Arabidopsis thaliana: one gene and its partners. The protein of the gene in region 2 interacts with the protein of the main gene of each other region in a pairwise test. Each region holds a gene or a part of one and is shown on either strand. Other genes may lie near its edges.

Region 1 (6,092 bases), on a different chromosome or scaffold from region 2:
GTAGCTTTCATCGTTTTGGGGTTAACTTCAATCTCTGTTCCCAAAACTTTATCTCCTCCCAAATAGTCTTTGACGAATGGCTCAACCATCACTATCGGATTCGCAGTCACCACTACTTTCCTCTTCTTACATTTATCAAACACCTCAAAACTATCTTTCCTCACATCCGCCGCGTAAAACCTAACATTTGAAAACGAAGATTAAAAATCGAAAGGGTTCCAAAATCGAAAAGAATAAAGATCCGGTGATTGTGGTTACCGTGTAAGAACGGCGCGAGAGACGAGTTCGATGTTCTTGATCTTGATACCGGCGAAGGAGATGAAGATAAGGATTTGGATTCCGAGAGATTCGGAGACGAAGAGATAAGCGATGATGACGATGGGAAGAGAAAGAAGAAGGATCAATCCACGGAAGAGACTACCTGCTTCAATGGCCACCAGCATGAAGTAAGGGAAAGAGCTTCTTGACAGAAGCAGAGTCCCGTCGAGATCCGCAGCGATCGAATCATACTCTCTGCTTTTACACTCGCTTATCGGAGGAAAACTTCGGCTCTTCTTCGCCGGAGACATCTTTCTTGCGGCGAATACTGGCGATTTAGTAAACAGAGAAAGAGAGATAAAGAGAGATTTGGAAAGAAAGAGAGGGAAGGTCCTTGGGGTTTTAAATGCGCCTTCCAGTGGTTGTTTATCGCTCAACTGACTAAATAACTTTTCAGTCCAATTAATATTAACTATTTACGAAATTATCCTTAAACTTTCAATCTTTACAAAATTAACCCTTCTTATTTCTTTATCTCCATGAGAAATTAAATGTTCACATCACATGATTCGTAACAAAGGTTTCAATTGACACTTATTTTTTTCTAATATATTTAAGTTAATATGAGTGATTATTTGATTAGGGTATTTATTAGATGATGGAATTTGGTGTATACATAAATATAATTTTGGTCACACGCGGTTCAGTTACTTTCTTTTTGTTGATTGACATGAAAGAAAGTAGTTTAGTAGTTCACCTAAATGGAAGGCTGTATAATTAATTGGGTGAGTTATTATAAATTTATAATATGTGGGTTGGCATTGTGTGTATATACTATATAGTATCCAACTATACGTGAAACATTAAAGTCGACGGCCGCCTGACCAAGTTAATTATATGAAAATGACTTTTATATATTGGTAGCATTTAATTTTGATTGCAATATTTACGTATCAAGGAGCCGTCGACAGAGTTATAATGCTAATTGAGTTAATTGACTTTATACTAGGTTTAAATAATTAACTCCTTAATTTATAATAATTAAGGGATTAAGACGGTTTTCTTTTTCTTTGTCCGCGTATCATGGATGGTCACTCAAATGTCAATGGTATATTAATAAAACGGTAAAATAGTTGGGAGTTGGAGAGCCATTGAGCCATATGCATTCATACTTACGGATATGAGTGTAACAGTATTCCCCTAGTATGAGTATAATAACTACTTACACGCTATGGAAATTGAAACTGCATCACGTGAACCTTAGCTTACAAAGAAAAGTGACTTATGCGTGTATACATATATGTGTGTTTGAGATAAATTACCAAAATATGCATGCAATTATGTACAATGAAAATTATGAAATAGAATTTATTTCCAAGAAGATAACAAACTTATCATAAACATTCACTTTGAAGATATGAAACTGAAAAGTAAAAACTAAAAAAAAAAAAAGGTGTGAAGCAGTGGGTAGGTAATCCACTTTGACGAGGTTATTGTAGAATAAGTAAGAATGTTTTATCTCAACTTGGTTGGCTATCTATCGCAACAAATTAAGGTGGAGTGATGCCGTTGATGGACATATTATGGGATACTAGTTGTATCCATAAAGAGTGCGAAAAAGGCCCAATGTAAATGGGCTTAATACCCACTTGGTTAACGTGGCCCATAAAGAGTGCGCAAGAGGCCCAATGTAAATATGGGCTAAATACCACGTAAACTAGTTGAGTCGATGACCCGAGAAACCAAGCCGAAACAATATGGATCTTACTCAATTTGTACCGAACCAAACCAGAAGAAAATCAAATTAACAAATTCCTCTTGAAAATTTCTCGAGTCTAACGACAAAAGCAAAATTAAAATCGTACCAAATCAATCATAATATCAAACTCCATTTAACGATAAAACCAGATCATCCACAGCAAATAAGAAAAAGACAAGTCCATTAATTAAAATAAACACATGATCCAGATCTCTCAAATATTTTCAAGCTCAATTACAAACCAAGATGCAACAATGAAGTTTTATAAAGAAAGAAATCAAATCAGGATCTGGACTTGAATGGAATGGCTCTGATGACAAGTTGGTGGTAAAGAGCCGCAAGAGCTGCTCCAATGAATGGTCCGACCCAGAATATCCACTGCAAACCACAATCAAACCACAATCAAACCAAAGTGACAAAGACATATAGAAAGACAAATCAACCAAATGATGTAATGGGGTACTCACGTGGTCGTCCCAAGCGTGGTCCTTGTTGTAGATGATTGCAGCTCCAAGACTCCTAGCTGGGTTAATTCCTGTTCCGGTGATTGGAATCGTCGCCAAGTGAACCAAGAACACAGCGAATCCGATTGGGAGTGGTGCCAAAATCTGCAAAAAAAATAACCCTAAATTATGAATCTTTTTCTAAACACCCAAAACAATAAATTAAGAGGAATCAAAACAAAATTATACCGGAACGTGGGAGTCACGAGCGCTTCTCTTGGCGTCAGTGGCGGAGAAGACCGTGTAGACAAGGACGAAGGTTCCGATTATCTCAGCACCCAAACCAGAGCCCTTAGTGTAGCCGTGAGCGACTGTGTTGGCTCCTCCGCCGAGAGTTTGGTAAGGATTTGGCTGGAAGCCTTTGACAACTCCGGCGCCGCAGATGGCTCCGAGACATTGCATCACGATGTAAAAGACAGCTCTCGTCAATGACAGCTTACGAGCCAAGAACAGACCAAATGTCACCGCTGGGTTTATGTGCCCACCTGTGAAACACACACACACACACACTCATCAGAATCAACTCTAAATTAAGATCTCTTTGAGAAAAATCGAAAACTAAAAGCAGAGCTACAAGGGTTTGAAGCATGCAACAAAAGACCAATTCTACTTGTATTAAGAAGATAAAAAAAATGGGGTTACCAGAGATTCCAGCAGTACAGTAGACAAGGGCAAAGATCATGCCACCGAAAGCCCAAGCAATGCCTTGGATTCCAACAGAGGCACACATGTTTGGTGCTCTCTTCACTCCCATCACTGTCAATACTGTTATGTATAGAAACAGGAAGGTGGCTATGAACTCGGCGATTCCGGCTCTGTAGAAGGACCACGAACTCAGCTCGCCTGGCTCGAAAAATGGAGCTGGTGGTGGCTCCTTGTAGTCTTTGTCCGTCTGAGCCGATGTACCTATCGGTTGCCTCTCCGGGAACTTGTTAGCTCCCACTCGAACATCCTCTTCTTTCCCTTCCATCTCTATCTAGAAAACGTTCAAGTGTTCTTTGCTTTTTTTCTTCTTTTCTACAATGGGTAATGAGAGTGGCTGAGATAGAGAAAGAATGGTTTTATAGAGGCGAGAGAGAGAGAGAATAGAAAAAGCAAAAAAAACTAACGTCTCGAAACTATTATGATATATTTAAATAATGAGAAATACAGGGAATCATGGATAACGATGATCTTCGTAAAAGCATATTTATTTACGTTAATAATTGTAATAGCCTACTACTTGATGATGTTTAATCATGTAACACAACCCACGCTTATACTAATTCTGTTGCGTTGGCTAACTATTAGTATTATATTCTGAAACTCCTTATAAAGATAGCATGTTTGACCTAATTTATTCTCAAATGCCTTGCTACAGGAGTACTACTCAGTCAGCAGTTAGAAATGTAAAAAAAAATATTACAGTGCCAGAAAACTCACAAAGGACTAACTTTTTGACTAGTCGACGAATTAATAATTTACTTCCGACCGTTGGAGAAGAAAAGGAAAAGAAGTGTGTGGAAAGCGATTGCTTTATGTAAAGTAACATAGTCTCGAACATTGTGCCGGGCCTAGAGTATTTTTAAAATGTTTAATTAAATTACTATGTGTACTACTAGTGACAAAATAATCACAATGATTGTGAATTTGAGGTTTTTCAATTAAACGATATATATTTTAGAAAAAAAGAAAATGAAAATTGGAGATAAGGTTCAATTTTGCGGGGGTTTCCAGCTCAGAAATGGATTTTGCTTTTCTGTGATCACATGTTCGTTTCCCTATTCCCACTTTCCTTTTTCTATCAATCTATTCAAACCTAACAAAAATAAAATTCAAAACTCTGTTGTTGTTATCAATTCACATATTTTTAACGCTATATGAGCCATACTTTACTAGTTAAATGGAGTTTAGTGTTTAGGATTCAAACCCTATTAGTTTTGTTGATGTTGTCTTACCCGAACAATAATTGAATTTATAAACAGATTAACTCTATTGTAGATATCGATTTTTAAAAAACTGAAAAGGGAAACAAATAATCCGAAGCTAAACTATATGATTAAGAAACACCTTTTATTGAACTAGTGGTGGGGTTTGCCATTTTTCGAAACGCAACCCACACACACACATCACAGTCGTCTAGCTGCCCAACCAACAGAATCACGACACGTGGTTGAAGAGGCAAATATGTGTTGGTGGTGTTTACTGGGGCGGTCCCGACCAAAGTCCGTATATGACATCCTTTCTCAGTTGTACAAATCACATTTCATTATAATTCATTTCATCGAATTATCTATCTTTTAAATTTTATCAATATCTTTTTTTGTTAGAGGCGTGGACCGTATGAATGTATGATAGTATAGAAATAGAAATAATAACGTTGGCATTGTTATTTAACAAGCAAACAAATGATTAGGTTGATTGATGAACAAGCAATGACTAGGTTGATGAATTTTAATTGTTACTGACTTTGTCTGTGTACGTAGCTGGTACTTAGTTGGTACATGCCTATCAAAAGAAAAACTAATATTTTGCAACGAAGCAGATCCTTCATTGCTTACATACATGTGGAAAAAGATACGATCAATATTTTAAAAAATCGTGAATTGAATTTTGTTTTATACACACAGACGACAGACAAGCTTCTGACGTGGGCTCAAAACACTAAAACGGCCTCTGAATCAGTCAACACTTTGAGGCATGAGAGATTGATTAAACCACAGACCAAGTCTTTACGACAAATCAACTCGAGCCCAATAGGCTCTAATAAGGCCCAATACGATATAATCGTCTTCTTCCTGTAGAGTCGGGGACCTGGGATTAGTCAATAAATGAGTAGAATTTTTGTAAGGAAGAGAGTAGTTGGTGAGCGTCGCCATTGAAGGGGAAAGCAGCCCAACTTTGCATTGAATGACACTTAAAATCTTTCTCTCAGCAGCTGTCTTCATTTATGATCGATCCTACTTCTTTCTTCTCTCTACCAATTTCAAGATCTGGTCGTCGCTCACAGGAGAAACGTAATGGAAAACAAAGAGACCAAGCAAGAACCAGCAGCAGCAGCTGAGCAAAAGACCGTTCCGTTGATCGAAGATGAGATCGAGAGGAGCAAAGTCGGGATCATGAGAGCTCTCTGCGACCGACAAGATCCTGAAACTAAGGTCCCTATCGATTTCTTTAAGTAAAAAAAGAATTCAACCAGAAAAGTATTGATTTGATAAAAGCCCTAATGATTTGGATTTGCAGGAGGTGGATGATCTGATGATAAGGAGGTTTCTGAGAGCGCGTGACCTGGACATTGAAAAGGCTTCAACGATGTTTCTAAATTACCTGACTTGGAAGAGAAGCATGCTCCCAAAGGGGCACATACCAGAAGCAGAGATTGCAAATGATCTATCGCATAACAAGATGTGTATGCAAGGTCATGACAAGATGGGTCGACCTATCGCTGTTGCCATTGGGAACAGACATAACCCTTCCAAAGGCAACCCTGACGAGTTCAAGCGTTTTGTTGTCTACACGCTCGAGAAGATTTGTGCTAGGTGAATAATAATAATATTACTACATACATTAAGTTAGTGTGGGTATATAAGAAA
Region 2 (4,953 bases):
GATTGTTGGGCTCATTCGATTCTCATGGATGTCAACACCGGCGCCCTTAAGCCTCTAGGGGTATGTTCAAACTCACGACACCATCTTTTTTTTTTTTTTTTGGGCCTAGGCCTAGACACGGGTTATCTTCTTCTCATTAAATAGAATCATATTATACGAACTTGAATTAAATATTTGCATTCACATGTTTCATGATAGCTTTCCACCGATACATGGTGCTCATCCGGAGGTCTGACCGTAAATGGTACATTGGTGAGCACTGGAGGATACGGAGGAGGAGCCAACACCGCGAGGTACCTATCCAGCTGTGAAAACTGCAAGTGGGAAGAATACCCTCAGGCATTGGCCGCGAAGAGATGGTACTCAACGCAAGCAACTCTCCCTGACGGAAAGTTCTTCGTGATTGGTGGAAGAGACGCCTTGAACTACGAATACATTCCTGAGGAGGGACAAAACAACAGGAAGCTCTTTGACTCATTGCTCCTCAGGCAAACAGACGACCCGGAAGAAAACAACCTTTACCCTTTCGTCTGGCTTAACACCGACGGTAACCTCTTCATTTTCGCTAACAACCGATCCATCCTTCTAAGCCCCAAAACAAACCAAGTCATCAAGGAGTTCCCTCAGCTCCCAGGTGGTGCCCGTAACTACCCGGGATCAGGTTCTTCCGCACTCCTCCCCATCCAACTTTACGTGAAAAACCCCAAGGTCATCCCAGCCGAGGTTCTCGTCTGTGGTGGTTCCAAACAAGACGCGTATTACAAGGCTGGTAAAAAAATATACGAACCAGCACTACAAGACTGCGCCAGGATAAGGATCAACAGCGCAAAGCCACGATGGAAGACGGAGATGATGCCAACCCCACGAATCATGAGTGATACTGTCATCCTCCCTAACGGAGACATCCTTCTAGTCAACGGAGCTAAACGTGGTTGTTCAGGCTGGGGATATGGTAAAGACCCTGCCTTTGCTCCCCTCTTGTACAAGCCCCATGCTGCACGTGGCAAGCGTTTCAGACAGCTCAAGCCCACCACCATCCCACGTATGTACCACTCCAGCGCCATCATTCTTCCAGACGGTAAGGTTCTTGTCGGTGGCAGCAACACCAACGACGGTTACAAGTACAACGTTGAGTTCCCAACGGAGCTTCGCGTTGAGAAATTCTCCCCACCTTACCTCGACCCGGCTCTAGCCAACATAAGGCCAAAGATCGTCACCACCGGCACCCCAAAACAGGTCAAATACGGACAATTCTTCAACGTGAAGGTCGACCTTAAAGAAAAGGGAGCAACCAAGGGAAATCTCAAGGTTACCATGTTAGCCCCTGCCTTCACAACACACAGTATCTCAATGAACATGAGGATGCTCATCTTGGGTGTCAATAATGTCAAACCTGCTGGTGCCGGTTACGATATCCAGGCCGTTGCACCACCAAATGGAAACATCGCTCCACCGGGTTACTATCTTATCTTTGCCATCTACAAAGGTGTTCCCAGCACTGGAGAATGGATTCAGGTCGTCTAATGACGATAATTTTTACCCATTTTGTCTTATGACCGTAACATCTTAATATAAAACAATCACATAATATCAGTTTTTTTTTCCTTCTATATATATTGTTTATGCCACCATTAATGGATCCAAATTACTTGTGTTTTCTTTCACTTCTATAAACTTTTCCGTTCATGTAAACCTTTTCGGTGAGTTTTTATGACTAAATTTTGTATTGGAGAAATTCTTTTATTATTACTTTTGGCTCTATTCTTTCTTCACTAGTTCGGTTTTGCGTATAAATCATTCGATGCGTTCATTGCAAGTCACTGTTTGTTTCATTGACTAGTAATGTTAATTACCTTCGATAATATTGCAGAGAGTTAGCTAAAATTCTCAAAAGATGGTACACAAATAGTTCTTTCGCAAAATAGATCTCACAGAAACAGAGTCACGGTTTTACAAAATTCGAATTTCACAGAACACAAAGCCAAATTCCAAATACAATAAAGCTCGTACCTAACAAAGCAAGTCCGATTTGAGTTTCTTCCCCTAAAAGGATCCCAAAAGCGGCGGTTGCGGCAAAGGTTGTGGCGTTAGTCACCGGAACGGCAAGAGAGATGGGAGCGTGACTGAGAAGGGCGAAGAATGTGGCGGAGGCGGAGAGGTTTATGAGGAAAGGAATTGAGTATTGCCAGAAGAGGAGGAGATTGATCCAGTCGCGGAGAGCAATCATGATTTTGCGGCGGATCTGAAGAGGAGGAGAATGAGATTCTGTTGTCGAAGAAGACTTTGTTTTATCCCAGGCAAGAGCGCCACGACGGATCAGAGCATTGGTGGCTCCCCATACGAGCCCTACCGCCACCATCTTATCCATGTCTTCCTTCATCGCCGGTGGCTGATCCCGATTTGCCTTTTCCGTTGTTCTGTGTTTTAACCACTAAATGTTGAGTAAAGGAGATCAAAAAGAAGAATTATTTGGATATCCAGAACCGACCCGAACCCGAAAGGTACCGAACTAAACCCGATCCGAAAAATTTAAAAATCCAAATAACGGACCCGAATACCTGAATAGTCCGGATGGTAAACACAGATCAATGGTATTATCACAAACCACTAAATTACATGTCGTCATCAAATAATGTTTCATTACAATACTACTACACTACTAGTCATTATCAATGAGCTTCAAAATCCATTAGGAAACAATGTTGTAGATTAGACGTTACAATACAAAACACCAAAGAACAAAAATACCAAAATATTGTTACACACTGAATCACACTTCCTTCTTAGAAAAAACAACAGGAAGCAATAGTCAAAACAAGCAACAATCATGATCAAACACCAAGTCTCATGTCCAAATCCTAAAACCAATGCCTGCATTGTTATATATGTACATTCTCACACACTTTAACCTTCTTCTATTCTCTCTCTCTCACTCTCTTTGTGTTTTTCTTCTTCTATGCCCTGTTCTATTACCTTCTCTTTTCACTATCAGTGTCTGTCACTAGGGCTTCTCATGTTCTCTAACTTTGCTAGATATGAAAATTTCTTCGGTAGAGCTCTTGGAGACTTCATCATGGGCTTCTCCTTCTCCTGCTCAACTTTGTGGAAGAATTCTATATCACTCATTGAACTATGCTTCTTAGTATCAGATGACAATCTCCACCCTATGAAGTCTGATAGTTTCCTCGAGTTTGGTGTTTCCGCTGCAACCACCTTTTCAGTTTCCTCGTATTCTGATTCTGCCTCGCTTTCTGATCTTGTCTCTGCCTCTCCCATCAACTGTCTTTGAACTAGCCGATCGGCTTCAAGAACATCCTCTATTCTTGACATTATCTTTGAAGCAAGACTCTCTAGTACCCTTGAATAGCTCTCCAAAATCGCCTGTCCAACATCCTGTAAGATCAAATCACAACAAACTCTTACTCAGTCTCACTACATTTTTGTTGATGTTTGTTTAGTCTTTGTTATGTTATGTTACCTTGTTGTTTTTAATCTTGGAGACTTCAAGGGAGGATTGTGGGATCCCAGGAAATTGTTGTTTGAGCATAACCAAAATGGTCTCAGCTCGGACTTCGAAAAGCTCCCTCTTCTCTAAGCTAACAGTGGATCCCCACTGAGATTTCCCGTCTTTCTCTTTCTGGCACATCTTCCTCTTCCAGATCACCATGGAAGCTTCAATCCTGTTCTTTAGATCAAGTACTTTGTGTTCCGTTGACAAATCCAAGAAAGAGACAAAGTAGTCAGGATCAAAGCTCTCCTCTGTTATGCTCTTGTAAAGAAAATCTCCCAAGCTTGTCTTCCCATTCTACATAACCAACAGCCTCATCAGCTTCCTAGCTTAGTGGAAATTGTAAAGAAACAGAACACTTTTGAAGAAGAAGTAAGTAACCTTTGGAAGGGAATCAATGTAGTTTTCAGGAACGTGCATTTCAGACAATACATGAGCATTGATGGCCGTGGCGGCTTTAAGGACTTGAGCCACAGAATCTTTCTGATTCTGCAACCATCTACGTGATTCCTCAGACAAGCCATCTGTTGGAACCTTAACAACTGGTAACCACCAGTTCTCATCCCTCCTCCAATCTCCATTGTGATCTGCATCCTCCATATCTCTTGGCACATACCAAAAGTCTTTCTGATCCTTGAAGTTGTCCAAAGTTTCCTGCCAAATGAGTAATTGCATTAGTATGATAAATGGTCACAACTCATCTATTTTTGTTTGTTATATATATATATCATGATCATTTTATAATACATGCACTCCTATATGAAATTAATTAATGAGATGGTACTCTTGGTGTTATGACGTTTTCAGTTATATTTATCTTTATAATTTGCAAAGATGACTATGACTTGTAGTATATATAGTAGTTTGTCCTAGTGTCATGGATATTGTTGCAAACAAAATATTTTTGAAACGATGTGGTGTTTGATATAATATAATGGTTTAATTTTTCCCAAACGTTGAAACCGCGGTTGAAACAATCAAGTAGTAATTAAACTCACGAGAAGAACCGAGTCAAGTTTGCGTAAAGCTGGAATGTTCGTCAGCAAATCATCTCTTTGTTTTGTAACCATGATCTACAAAGGAGAAAATTAGGGTTAATAAGAAAAATCGTCACTAGTAGACTAGTAGTTGTTATATATGTACGTAATTAATGACTAACAGTTGCATGCATTCACCTCAGTGAATTGGCCATTTTTACCCATTTGTCTAGAAGGAACAAACTGGACAATGTGATCAATCACAGATAATAACCAACCCATTTCTTTCCTCCAATTCTCTTTTGTCTCCGGATACATAGGCTGCAATTTCATCTGCTCTCCAAACATCGAATCTGCATGCCAATACCAAAGCCACATTAATTAGTTTGTGACTTATTTTAACCATTCAAATCGTTATTAGACATTTAATGTTTTAATCATATTAGTAGTGTTAAAGGTTTACCAGCG
Region 3 (5,856 bases), on a different chromosome or scaffold from region 2:
AGCTTCCTAAGCCGGCAATGTACAAACCCTTCCACTTTCGAATTTGTTCGGTTAGAAATAGATTTATATTCCACAATTTCTTGCACCTACGTTGATGCCTATATATATAGACACACTTAAATGTATGTGGAATTTGAAATATATATTGATATAGTAAAATGGGATGTGTTTGCAGCAAGCAATTAGAAGGAAGAAGGCAAGAAGACATTTCGCTTCTTGCTTCTCAAACCTTTTGTAAGTTACGTCTACTTCAATCATCCACCACTTCCTCCTCCTATATATTATATTGCATGGAGAAAGAATATTATTACACGAGCTTGTAGATCAGATAACATCTAAATTGTTTTGGGTTTGCAGTTAGCGAGGCTGAGGTTGAAGTTTTGCATGGATTGTTCATCAAACTCACTTCTTGTCTTAGCAACGACAATCTTTTGACCAAAGTTAGAGTCCAAACTAATTTTTCTTCCACAATGTGAATAATTTTTTTTTGGTCAACAAAATGTGAATAATATAACATCTAAATTTTATACTAGCTAGTTATAGAAAAGTTGTGCTTTTGTCATGTCAAATTTGGTTGGCTTTTCCAGGAAAAATTTCAATTTATCTTGATCAAGAATACCAAAAAGCGCAGTCTTTCTGCAGAACGGGTAATTGAATTTGTTATATTAAGCGAAATAAATAAATAAACTTCGATTGATGTTGTTTCTCTGAAATATGCAGATTTTTGGATTATTCGATATGAGAAACGATGGGGCTATAGATTTTGGAGAGTTTGTACACACACTCAACATTTTTCACCCAAACTCATCACCAAGAGATAAGGCCATATGTATGCTTCATCACTTCTAATGTGTTTATTCATTTATTCCATGTTATTATTATTTTCTATATAGCTAGAGATCAATGTTATTAACTATAACCACAAATACATCTGATCACTTGTTTAAAATTAAACAGTTGCATTTAGATTATACGATACTCGTGAGACTGGATTCATTGAACCGGAGGAGGTACGTATGTAAACTTTGTCTCAAAAAAAAGAAAAAGTCATGATTAATTATATTTGACGGTTTTCCTCGACTTGGAGAAATCTATAGGTGAAAGAGATGATAATAGACGTTCTAGAGGAATCAGAACTTATGCTATCCGAGAGTATCATTGATTCTATCGTGTCTAAGGTGTGTATAACGCTTAAGTTTATGAGCTTGATTTAACATTATAGTGATTTTACTTACTATTTTTGTTTACTTATATTTGGCAAAGACATTTGAAGAGGCCGATTGGAAAAAAGATGGGATAATAGATTTGGAAGAATGGGAGAATTTTGTTGCCACCTATCCTTTGACACTAAAGAACATGACTATCCCTTTCTTGAAGTAATTCGTTTGTTTGTTTTTCCTAACCATTTTCTTAATATTCGCTGATAAATTGCATGTTTTAGATACATCTTTCGTTTTACAAAAAAAGTAATATATATACATCTTTCAAAAACAGCTTTTATATATGTGTGTTTATGCATATATTACTATTATCTTCTTTTATTTTATTTTTCTTGTTTTATAAATCGAGATAATTATTCTAAAATTAACTTTTATTGTACAGGGACATTCCGAGGATTTTCCCAACCTTTCTCCGGTAAAATCAGATGAGGTGTTTGCTAGAGGTTTTTGTTTAAAAATATTTTTATCCGAAAATCACATAGGTAATTTGTTATAAGAAATATAGAAGGTTAATTATTATATAAACATATTAACTATCGAAAGAAATCTTTAATATTTAACGAGGATAGAAAGTAATTGTTTTTAACCACAAAGCTAAAGCTGTGATATGAAAACTTAAAAGCAAAGATCGGTTCGTGAAGACAAAATGGGGTTTTGGAAAAGGAAAAGAGGAAAAAGAAAAAGAACAAACGTGTGAAAATTCGAGAAAAATGGTAACACAAAAAGAAATTGGACATGATATAAGTTGCCAAAACCAAAGAGAAAAAATTGACATGATATACCAATCAAATTTTTGAATCAGGTCAACTAATCAAATTCACAACAATCATCCACAATATTATTTAGATTTGACGCTTTCACTGTTTCACATGAAAATTTTACATTTGACGCGATGACTTGTGGAGTCACGATCATTTTAGTCACTCGTTTTAAACGGATGCTTCATTCAAAAAATGTAACTTATATTCAGAAGACTCCTAACGTCCGATTCAGATTTACAAAAAAACAATATCATTGAATCGGAAAACAGAAAAGCATAGTAATATTCTAAGTATTTAATTATAATCGTGAGGAAATAGTTCCGTAATAATGGGGGAAAAATATATATATGATAAAACCAAAATGAGATTTGCCTGAAGATGCCATATGTCTGATCAAACACTCTGAGCTGTTGTGTCGATGAACTCACCATATGCCAAGATACGCTATTAGCGACAACACATTTGTATTGTCAAATGTCATTAATTAACATCCACAGGTCCAACAACAGAGAAACAAAATAATTATCACAAGTAAAATATAAAATTAGTAATATACTTGTACTTATAATTTTTGGCTTATGCCTTTTAATTTATTTTAACACTAGACTCGACGAAACTCATCACTAACATGACCACAAAAAAAAAAGATTACAATTCTAAAACACAAAGATTAAAAAAGAAAACATAACGAAGTAAAATTAAGACTAGACATCAACTTTACAAGTTGAAGGAGCGAGAAGAGGAACTTGTCCGTTAGAAGATGGATTAAATCTCAACCACACATCACATCTGGCGTAAAATCCATACCGTCCAGTCTTAATCGCACCAGCTTTCCAACGTAGCCTCCCAAAAATCACCACTCTCATCAAAACGACGCCGTAAGCTTCATCATTTTTTAAACCATTAGCTACTTCCGGCGAGACTGGTATACCGTTGCCTCCCATCACCGGAGCTATCACAACCGTAGATTTATGTCCTAAACGAAGCGGTGGTAGTGGAAGCGGCGGTGTTATGATCTGATCTTTGTACGTTACGTACATAGAGAGCTTGTCGTAGTGAATGGAGACTCTCCGGTTAGGGTTTCTTGCTAAAACGCTGAACTGAACGGAGGTTGAGATTAACGGCGGCGCTGTGAAATTCAGGTCGTAGATGGCGGCTCCGACGACGGTGAGACGTGGTTTATGTGGACGGTAGACGAGCCAAAGGATTAAGGCTATGATACCTAGTATGACAAGGATGGTGAAGATCGCGCCGCAGATTGCGCGGCGAGCATCTCCACCGCCTCCTCCGCCTTCTTTAGAGTAAGATTCTGGCGTTGAAGAAGCGGAGGGAGCGTTCTTGTGATCTGCTTTGGCTGCGTGCTCTGCTTTTGCTTCTCCTTCTCCCATGGCTATACTCTACAGATATAAGTGTTAAAGTGTGTATGTATAGGTATGTGTGTGTCTATACGAGAATCAGAGGGTTCGGTGAAGAGTGAAGACTCTAAAGAAGGAGGAGGAGAAGAAAGAAGATAAGTAGATGCAAGGTTTTGTCTCTTTTCTAGTTAATAAGAGTAAACAGTCTTCTAGAGTACAGTTTTATTAATTGTTTATTAACTTAGAAAGCTTGTAGTTGTAATTATGTGTTAAAGCTAATCTTTTTATAAAGTAGCCGTAAATTACTACTGTTTTTACATTGTGATTTTATTTTGTTATAATACTTAATGTAATAATATAAGATAGAGAAGTACTTTCGAAAGACTCCAAATCTCGGTGCAACCGTTCACGTGACGGATCTGATGAGTGATGAATTTTTTAAAAATGAAAAATCCAATGTAACGTGTATACATATGGCTATACATAATCAAATACTTTGTTGTCAATGATTGACTTATTTGGTGACAACTATGGTTTCGTGCAACGTGATAACTATCACTTTTTGGCCGTGTTAATTTTTAAAAAAATTAGAATGAAATTTATCAGGTTACGGCCTGTCAAAGTTAGCAATAACCTAATATCTGTTTGCATGCCAGAATACGGTTATGTAGAAAGAAAATTAAATTATCATATTTCACAATTCTTTATCAACTGTATAAAGCAATTAATAATAAATTAATTAGATACCACATGTGTCATATTTGTTCTAATGTTTAGAAAATAAAAGTACAAGTCTTTTATGTCCACATCTCCAACAATACTTCTGACCAAATTCCATATATTATTAGTAAGCTTCCAAAATAAATAATAATCACATTTAAGAAGAATCTGTTATTTAATCACACTAACTGAGATACCGCACCACCGACACTGTAGTCACCGACAATGCTGTGGATGCTACCTGGGCCTCAATTATAAGCCCATTATAAAATTGGGCCTACACTAAAACTATTGTGTACAGAGAGATATTTGATAATTTGCTGACTGATACAAGTCTCACTTCCAACGGCCGATTTATTAAAAAAAAACTCCGACAAATGATTCGCCGGCCGATCTACGACTTCGCCGCCGTTTTTCGCCACTTAACTTCTCCGTTATCGACATCCTCGCGTTTTCTGTTCTATTCTTCATCTGAACATGAAGCTCGAAAACCGATTGTCTCGAACCCTAAATCCCCAATCGGGTCTCCGACTCGGGTTCAAAAGCTCATAGCTTCGCAATCGGATCCTCTCCTCGCCAAGGAGATTTTCGATTATGCTTCTCAACAGCCCAATTTCCGCCATTCTCGATCTTCTCATCTAATCCTCATTCTCAAACTCGGCCGTGGTAGATATTTCAATCTTATCGACGACGTTCTCGCCAAACACAGATCAAGTGGTTATCCATTAACCGGAGAAATTTTCACTTATCTGATCAAAGTCTACGCAGAAGCAAAGTTACCGGAGAAAGTCTTAAGTACGTTTTACAAAATGCTGGAGTTCAATTTCACGCCGCAGCCAAAACATCTGAATCGGATTCTAGATGTTCTCGTAAGCCATAGAGGTTATCTCCAGAAAGCTTTTGAGCTTTTCAAGAGTTCACGGCTTCATGGAGTAATGCCTAACACGAGAAGTTACAATTTATTGATGCAAGCTTTTTGTTTGAATGATGATTTGAGTATTGCATACCAACTGTTTGGTAAAATGCTTGAGAGAGATGTTGTCCCTGATGTGGATTCTTATAAGATTCTGATACAAGGGTTTTGTAGGAAAGGTCAAGTGAATGGTGCTATGGAATTACTTGATGATATGTTGAATAAAGGATTCGTGCCTGATAGGTTAAGTTACACGACATTGTTGAACAGTTTGTGTAGGAAGACACAGCTTAGAGAGGCTTATAAGCTTCTATGTAGGATGAAGTTAAAAGGTTGTAATCCTGATCTTGTTCATTACAACACGATGATTCTCGGGTTTTGTAGAGAAGATCGTGCGATGGATGCTAGGAAAGTTCTTGATGATATGTTGTCTAACGGTTGCTCGCCTAATTCGGTCTCGTATAGGACTTTGATTGGAGGATTGTGTGATCAAGGAATGTTTGATGAAGGGAAGAAGTATCTAGAAGAGATGATATCCAAAGGGTTTTCTCCTCATTTCTCGGTTTCAAATTGTTTGGTAAAAGGGTTTTGTAGCTTCGGGAAAGTCGAAGAAGCTTGTGATGTTGTAGAGGTTGTGATGAAGAACGGAGAAACATTGCATTCAGACACTTGGGAGATGGTAATTCCATTAATCTGTAATGAAGATGAGTCGGAGAAGATCAAACTGTTTCTTGAAGATGCTGTAAAGGAAGAAATAACCGGTGATACCAGAATCGTTGATGTCGGTATCGGTTTAGGATCTTACCTTTCTAGTAAGCTACAGATGAAACGTAAAAATGCTAGAGAGAGGAGGAGACATTTATAGGTTCCTCCTGATCCTGAAAAGC
Region 4 (6,906 bases), about 11 Mb from region 2:
GTTGAGATTTTTTAAACTCTATATATTATATAATGATGTTAAGTTTTTTTGATATATTAAACTTTTTATAAATTTAAATATTATTAATGTTTTATGAATTTTAAATATATAAATAAGAATAATTAAAAAATTAATATTTTTTGCCTTTTAGGTAATGATATAATAACTCTAAAAGCAAGAATTTAGAAGATTTAAATCTTTAATTAAATATTTTCATACCTAAATAATTAATGTCAGTAGCATGACATTGTAAATAAGTTCAAATAAATGATTTGTTTATTTAAACAAAAAACGTTTAGTAAGAACAATATTTATTTAAACAAAAAACTTTGTTTTAAAATATTGTTAACAAAATACTTTTATGCTAATTTTAAGGGATTGATGTGAAGTTTGTTTGGATTAAATTTGATTGATAATGTGATTGACAATTTAAATTAAAAATTTAAAGTAAAACTAATTATTTTGAAAAAACGATTTAATGCTAATGGCATTGGGTTGTAAATAAGTCCAACTCGAAGATTTATTTGTTAAAATGGCTGCAAAAATATATATATAGATGATCTAACAGATTTTAACATTGGATGGATTACTTTAAGATGGTTTGATTTGATTGCTGAATTACATTGGAATATGTCACAATAAATTAAATACATAAAATTACAAAATAGAACTTATTAAATAGAAAATATTATGATTATGATTTATTATGTAAACTAGCAAACTAAAATTTCTGCAAATATTTCCCCAAGCTGAACAGCGTGGATCCTATCTAGTATTTATGTATAATACAATAAAAGAACTCCAATTTAACTGTTTTCAATCTTCTACGTACGAGGGTTTCCCGTGGATACCGAATCAAACAAAAATTCACAAATCCAAAATAAAATTACATTAGTAAAATTGATGGTATTATTTTGTTTTACCGAATCAACGTACCAAACTAAATCCAAAATGGAACTCAAATCTTGAGCAATTCAAACGTACAAACCAAAATACACTAAACTGTATATTTTAAATTAAATATAAAATACATTTAAATTGTATTTATATACCCAAAATTTTCAGAATATATGTAACTTTATATTTTTGTAACAGTTTTCAATTCAAAATCTACCCGTACGGTACCTATACCAAAATAAAATTACATTTGACAATTCAAAATTTTGGAGTTTAAGACATGTTTCCTAAAAAGCTTAAACCTAAAAACCCCAAACTCAAAGAAGTTAAACCATATAACTTAACTGAAAAAAGCATGTCCAGACCTATTTCTCGCAACAATAATCAGGTACATTGGACTTCTACACCACGATAGAAGCTCGAACAGAATCCACAATCTCCTTCTTGAGCGACATAAGAAAAGATTCTTTGGAAGCTTTTATTATGGTGTAGAAGTCACATTCTTGTGTTTTATTTTGTTGCCCTAAGCTCTAGTACTGTGTAACTGTAAATGTTGCTCTCTTTGGATAGATCAGATCTAAACTTTGAATGAAATTCATTAGTTTTCTAATATATTAATATAAGTAAACGACTAGATCTAATTTTAACCTTGCTTTTGGAGTGAATATATAAGCTTGTTTCCAGAATAGTGAGTCGATTTCGAAATATTAGACAAGATTTAAATGATATCATAAATATTCTTATAACATCATAACTTAAGGTCAACGAGCCAATAAAATGAAAACAAAACCAAACATCGCACTCCAAATAACAAAATAAACATACATAATTATTTCTCGTCATGGCTAACCTCAGCCTCACCAGAGAGTTCTTCAAGGGACTTGCCTTTGGGCTCTGGGACAAGGAAGGTGAAGAGCATACCGATAAAGTTAAGAACACCAAGCATGATCAATGAGTTCTTAACTCCGATGCCTGGTGGGTATCCTGCGTCTACCTTGGCCTTGTCTTGTGATTGAGCCGCATATAGGAACCCAAAGGCTCCAACAATGGCTCCAGCCTTACCAGCCGCGGCTGATATTCCATGACATGTAGACCTTAGCCTGGCCGGGAATATCTCAGCAGGGACAATAAAAGTGGTTGCATTTGGACCAAAATTGGCGAAGAAGAAAGTAAGAGAGTACATAACCACAAATCCGATACGGTTTTCTGGTTTGATCCAGTGGTTGTAAGGGAAGGCAATGGCAAACATAAACACGGTCATCATGAAAAATCCATTTAGTTGGATCTTAAACCTTCCAATGGTATCAATAAACGCAACTGTGAACCAGTAGCCTGGGACTGTACTGCAAAGGGCGATAAGAGTCTGAGCCCTAGCAATCCTGAAAACCTCATGGGTGGCGTTCATGGTGGCTGCCTTTGGGATCCATCCGATGGCCGAGAAAATATCCTTCTGGAACAAGTTTTGGCTGTAGAAGGCAATGTCAAGCAAAAACCATGTGGAGGTAGTTCCAAGGAGATGAAGCCCATGGCGTCTAAGGAATTCCTTGGAGAACAAGCCATAGTTTTGTTTGGGGTCTTTGACGTCATCCTCCACCCTTTCCTCAAGCTCGATATCTGTTTGTAAGACCTTGGACATGTCGGCTGTGGCTTGTTTGATGTTCTTGGCAACCAAAGCGGTGTAACGGGCAGTTTCAGGCATCTTCATACGCCAGTAGTAAGTCAAAGCTGCGGGTAAAGCACCAAACATGACGATGATTCGCCAAATGTAGTCAACTTGAGGAGGCGTTGAGAGGGCCCTGTTTACTGCATATGTTGGAGCTGGGAACTTTTTGTCGAATATAGAAGATACTGCGAGTGCCACGAAACCTCCAGCCAAGATACCGACACCTTGCATGGCGAAGACAGCTGCGATGAAAGCCCCACGGGTCTTCTTGTTTGCGTATTCAGACATGATGGTGGCAGAAAGTGGGTAGTCACCTCCAATACCAAATCCCAACCAAAACCTACGTAATGGTTTATATATAAAAAAACTTTCTCAAAGAAAAATACCTAAATCAGTTCGAAGCGTGACTAACTTTTAAAACTTGCATTCGTTATTAGATTATTGGTTAATCATTGTGTATATATAATATTGTAATTGGATGAAAATTGTACCTGAAGAAGCAAAGGGTGGTCATGACACCCTTGGCTTCGTGGCCAAAAGAGAGACCAGAAGCGACAGAGCACAAGATCATCATTACCAAAGTGAGACCGTACACTTTTTTCCGTCCGAGTTTGTCACCGAGCCAACCGAAGAAGAGTTGACCAGAAAGGGTTCCACAAAGGGCCACACCGTTGACCGCGGCCGCAACATGAGGGGGAAGTGAGCCAGGCTTCGCTGACTCCGGATTGAAATAGTAGATGCGGCCAAGGAGTTTCGTCACCAAGGACACGCAAAAAAGATCGTAGGCATCGGTAAAGAAACCCATACCGGCGATGACAATCGCCGTGAAATGATAAAGTTGCGTCTTCGCAACATCGAGTGCCTTTAGCACTCCTAGTTGTTGTTCGGCCATTTCCTAGAGCTCTATAATCATACAACGCAAAGAATCCAAGATTTCATGTCATTATTTCTCGCTTATGAAATATTTTCATTTGGAGACTTAAAAAATATCATGGAACAGAGCATTTGACCTCTCAATGGCCAAAATTTTGAAACAAAACTTGATATCTTTGGAATTATGAACAAGAAAACTCAACTTGAAATGGTATATACACAAATTAAATATAGACGACAAAGGAAAGTAATATTACCTTAATCAGCTTGGCAGGAGAAATTAAGAACTTCTCTGGAGAGTTGAGGAGAGACTATATGTGGTCATTAGAAATGAACAATTATGCTGGCCATTTATAGAGAAGAAGAAAGAGAAGCACGTTAAATGTAATAAAAAAATGCTTTTTGAAAAGGAAAGATATGTAAGCAACGTGATCGCCTCTTTCTTCATAGTTATTATTTATTTTGTAATTTCATTTTGGATTTTAGAATTTTAGTCATCAATACTCCCTCCGTATGTTTATAGTTGATGTTTAAGATTTTTGAACACCATTTGTTTCTGAAGTAAAATATTATTTACAGTCTATTTTATATTGAAAAGTATAAAACATCATCTAAGCTGGACGATACGCCTTCCAGAATATGAACACCTTATACAATAAATCTCTCTAGGATACGTGAGATGGGATGATTTTTTTATTGTATGATAGTTACGGATTCTGATTATTATTTTGAAGCAGGAAACGAAGTTTTAGCAAAAATTTCTGTTTAACCATCTCAATTACTATATGGAGACAGATTGATATATGAGCATTACTATAGATATGCATTCCATGTAAATTTCTATAAATAGAAGTAGCTAATTTAGACGTTGTACACACACAAAAAAAGAATAAAATAAAATCAAAAAGAAGTAGTGTAGACACGAATTCAGTTTGTAGTTAATCTTGTTGGCATTACTTGTAATCGTTGACCAGTTATATATATTTATGTTTGATTCCAACTTTGCAATTATATTATTCGCAATATAAAATGCATTTCTAAAATTAAATAAGGAGAGTTGCAAGCTCTAATCATTTATTTATTGTTTCGTGTAAATCTGAACTACAAGTTATTTTAGAGCCAATATAAGTCGAAAGGTTTTAAATTTCTCCATCTTCCTCGTTTTCTTTGTTTTGTTTTTTGCAGTCGAGTTATTCAACTCTAATAGTTGACATTTGAGGAGTGACAATCAGGATACATATAGTCATGAAGATTAATTATCATTTAGCAAAGTCAAAATCATTATTTTAAAAAAGCATATTCGAAAAACATAGGATATTCGCGAGAACATAAGCATATAAATTCATTTTAACAGATAATTCATGCCTTAGTGGACTTAGTTGCCATTACATATACATAAATAAGGATTTAATATCAACCAATCCAGCTCAGACCATATATATATATAAATGTGAGGATTGTATTTGTTTTAAATGACGGGTTTTCTGGACTTCGATATGTACACGTTAATGTTTTAAATGGTTTGAATGTTTTGTTGTTATACGAGAGGTATTACATGCATAAATTAAATATAACCATAATAACAACAAAGATTAGGAATTTGATAGTAGCTGTGTAGTAGAGATAAGCAGTCAAATAAATATCATAAATGACCACTAAATATCGATTGATTACATTTTGTCACACAAAAAAATAAATGTAGAGATCCACCATTACGAACATGAAATATCACATTACGCATCGCAAAAATAAAGTAAATCGTAATAGAAGATGTAATTCATCGAACCAATTAAGAATTTGAAAATATTATGGCGTAATCATTTCTCAACCTCAGCCTCACCGGAGAGCTCTTCAAGGGACTTGCCCTTGGGCATTCCTATTATTTACAAGGCTACAAGCAAAGAAAAAGAAAAGGCCACTTAACACATGCTTATAGTAAAAAAAAAAGAGAGGATATTTTACACATGTTCATAATATAAAAAAAGCCTCTTTACACATGTTCATAGTATAAAAAAGTGTGATCAAACAAAATATAAAATTGGTTATGTTTAAAAAAAGCACTAAAAGTATTAAAGCATCAAAGATCAATGCAATTTTTATATATGATATTCCTTGCATTTATATATGTACGTAGACTCATCCATCAAGTTTTTTTTAGTCAAATTTCTATCATATCCTTCATATGTTGTTTTTATGAAGAAACAATGATTAAGAAGTAAAGAAAAAAAACTTATCAGAATAAAACATGAATTTGTTACAGTTAAACCACTAATGAATTATAGAATAAGTATGAGATACAGAGACAAAATAGACAAAATGGATGGATTTGAACTAAAAAGCTGACAGTTTAAGGACCAATAAACCACACAATGCTAGAGGAAGAAAAGGAACCAAAAGATTAATTGCAATTGAGGTTAATTATTTATAATTTAGTAACTAATTTTTTTTTGACAAAAACGGAAGAAGAAAAACTGTAATAATATCGGCATTTGGGAGATTCGAACTTAAGAAGTTAAACAAAACAAGGACCAAGTTTTCCCTGACGCGAACATTGGACCATAGAACAACTTCAGTATTTGGAGGCCGAAAATGTAATTATTGAATAATCGGCTGCAAGCATGGGCTTGGCCCGCTTGTGCTCATGGCCGGCTCTGCCCTTGGGCTAAGGAACAAGGAAGGTGAAGAGAATACCGACAAAGTTAATGACACCAAGCATGACCAGTGAGTTCTTGACTCCAAAGCCATGTGGGTATCCTTCGTCCGTCTTGGTCATCTCTTGCGGCTCGCATATAGGAACCCGAAACGTCTGACTATGTTATATAGGGGTTCAAGTGCAACGTCTATATGCTAAAATAAAGAAAGAAATCGCAACAATAAATGAAAATATGGCCGTTGAAAATTGAATGAGAGAATCGGCCATACTAGGAAAGTTGTGATGTGTCTTGAGTCTTGATAACTTAGGCATCATTAATTGTAGGAATCTTCAAGACCCGCAAAAGATGATCAGAATATAGTCGTTGTGATATGATCTCATTCGGCTCTGGAAAAAGAAAGTTTTGGCTCTGTGGGTTCACATAAGGAAAAATGCACCAAGGATTAGTGTGAATGGTTCTGGGTGGTGTATAGGATGTCCAGGCTTCCATATGTGGCTCTGGAATGCACAAAAGGGAAGGAAAGGATAGCTTTCCTTAGTTTGCACAAGCCCTAGGTTTGCTTGACACTGCCCTAGGTTTTGTAGTCGTTCATGTGCCTACAGTTTGGTTATGATCGATTAAATCAATATCAATATTCATAATATGCTATTAAAGTCATATTCAGTGAACTTGGACGTCCCTAGACTTACTCGCCTAAGCTATCAAGACTTAAGAGAATTAAGACTTTCCTATTTCGGCGATGGACCACCATTTGATGTCCAATGTCTCTTCCTTTTTGTTTTTTTGCGAATTTTCTTACTTTCTTATTTGGCCATTAAC

Evidence for each region.
Region 1: the proteins of AT5G19570 (region 2) and PIP1C interact in a protein complementation assay, tested with the Arabidopsis thaliana proteins (one large-scale study listed by BioGRID).
Region 3: the proteins of AT5G19570 (region 2) and AT4G01410 interact in a protein complementation assay, tested with the Arabidopsis thaliana proteins (one large-scale study listed by BioGRID).
Region 4: the proteins of AT5G19570 (region 2) and PHT1;1 interact in a protein complementation assay, tested with the Arabidopsis thaliana proteins (one large-scale study listed by BioGRID).

Annotation. Positions count from the first base shown.
Region 1 is NC_003070.9:223,687-229,778, forward strand, and holds PIP1C (plasma membrane intrinsic protein 1C), read right to left. Parts: upstream 3,858-6,092; 5' UTR 3,491-3,857; coding exon 3,163-3,490; intron 3,006-3,162; coding exon 2,710-3,005; intron 2,626-2,709; coding exon 2,485-2,625; intron 2,396-2,484; coding exon 2,300-2,395; 3' UTR 1,979-2,299; downstream 1-1,978. Other genes in the region: GPAT4 (glycerol-3-phosphate acyltransferase 4), read right to left, coding at 1-180, 259-569; AT1G01630 (Sec14p-like phosphatidylinositol transfer family protein), read left to right, coding at 5,520-5,657, 5,743-6,038. UniProt on the Arabidopsis thaliana protein: Water channel required to facilitate the transport of water across cell membrane. Its function is impaired by Hg(2+).
Region 2 is NC_003076.8:6,604,166-6,609,118, reverse strand, and holds AT5G19570 (uncharacterized protein), read right to left. Parts: upstream 2,556-4,953; 5' UTR 2,381-2,555; coding exon 1,967-2,380; 3' UTR 1,798-1,966; downstream 1-1,797. Other genes in the region: AT5G19580 (glyoxal oxidase-related protein), read left to right, coding at 1-60, 199-1,524; ROPGEF10 (ROP uanine nucleotide exchange factor 10), read right to left, coding at 2,989-3,393, 3,479-3,805, 3,890-4,162, 4,507-4,581, 4,684-4,838, 4,949-4,953.
Region 3 is NC_003075.7:575,821-581,676, reverse strand, and holds AT4G01410 (Late embryogenesis abundant (LEA) hydroxyproline-rich glycoprotein family), read right to left. Parts: upstream 3,650-5,856; 5' UTR 3,370-3,649; coding exon 2,686-3,369; 3' UTR 2,390-2,685; downstream 1-2,389. Other genes in the region: CBL5 (calcineurin B-like protein 5), read left to right, coding at 159-234, 358-440, 588-647, 721-829, 958-1,010, 1,098-1,178, 1,264-1,376, 1,603-1,639; AT4G01400 (oligomeric golgi complex subunit-like protein), read left to right, coding at 4,434-5,834.
Region 4 is NC_003076.8:17,398,192-17,405,097, forward strand, and holds PHT1;1 (phosphate transporter 1;1), read right to left. Parts: upstream 3,968-6,906; 5' UTR 3,691-3,967; intron 3,464-3,690; 5' UTR 3,453-3,463; coding exon 3,052-3,452; intron 2,901-3,051; coding exon 1,727-2,900; 3' UTR 1,578-1,726; downstream 1-1,577. UniProt on the Arabidopsis thaliana protein: High-affinity transporter for external inorganic phosphate. Acts as a H(+):phosphate symporter in both low- and high-Pi conditions. Confers sensitivity to arsenate.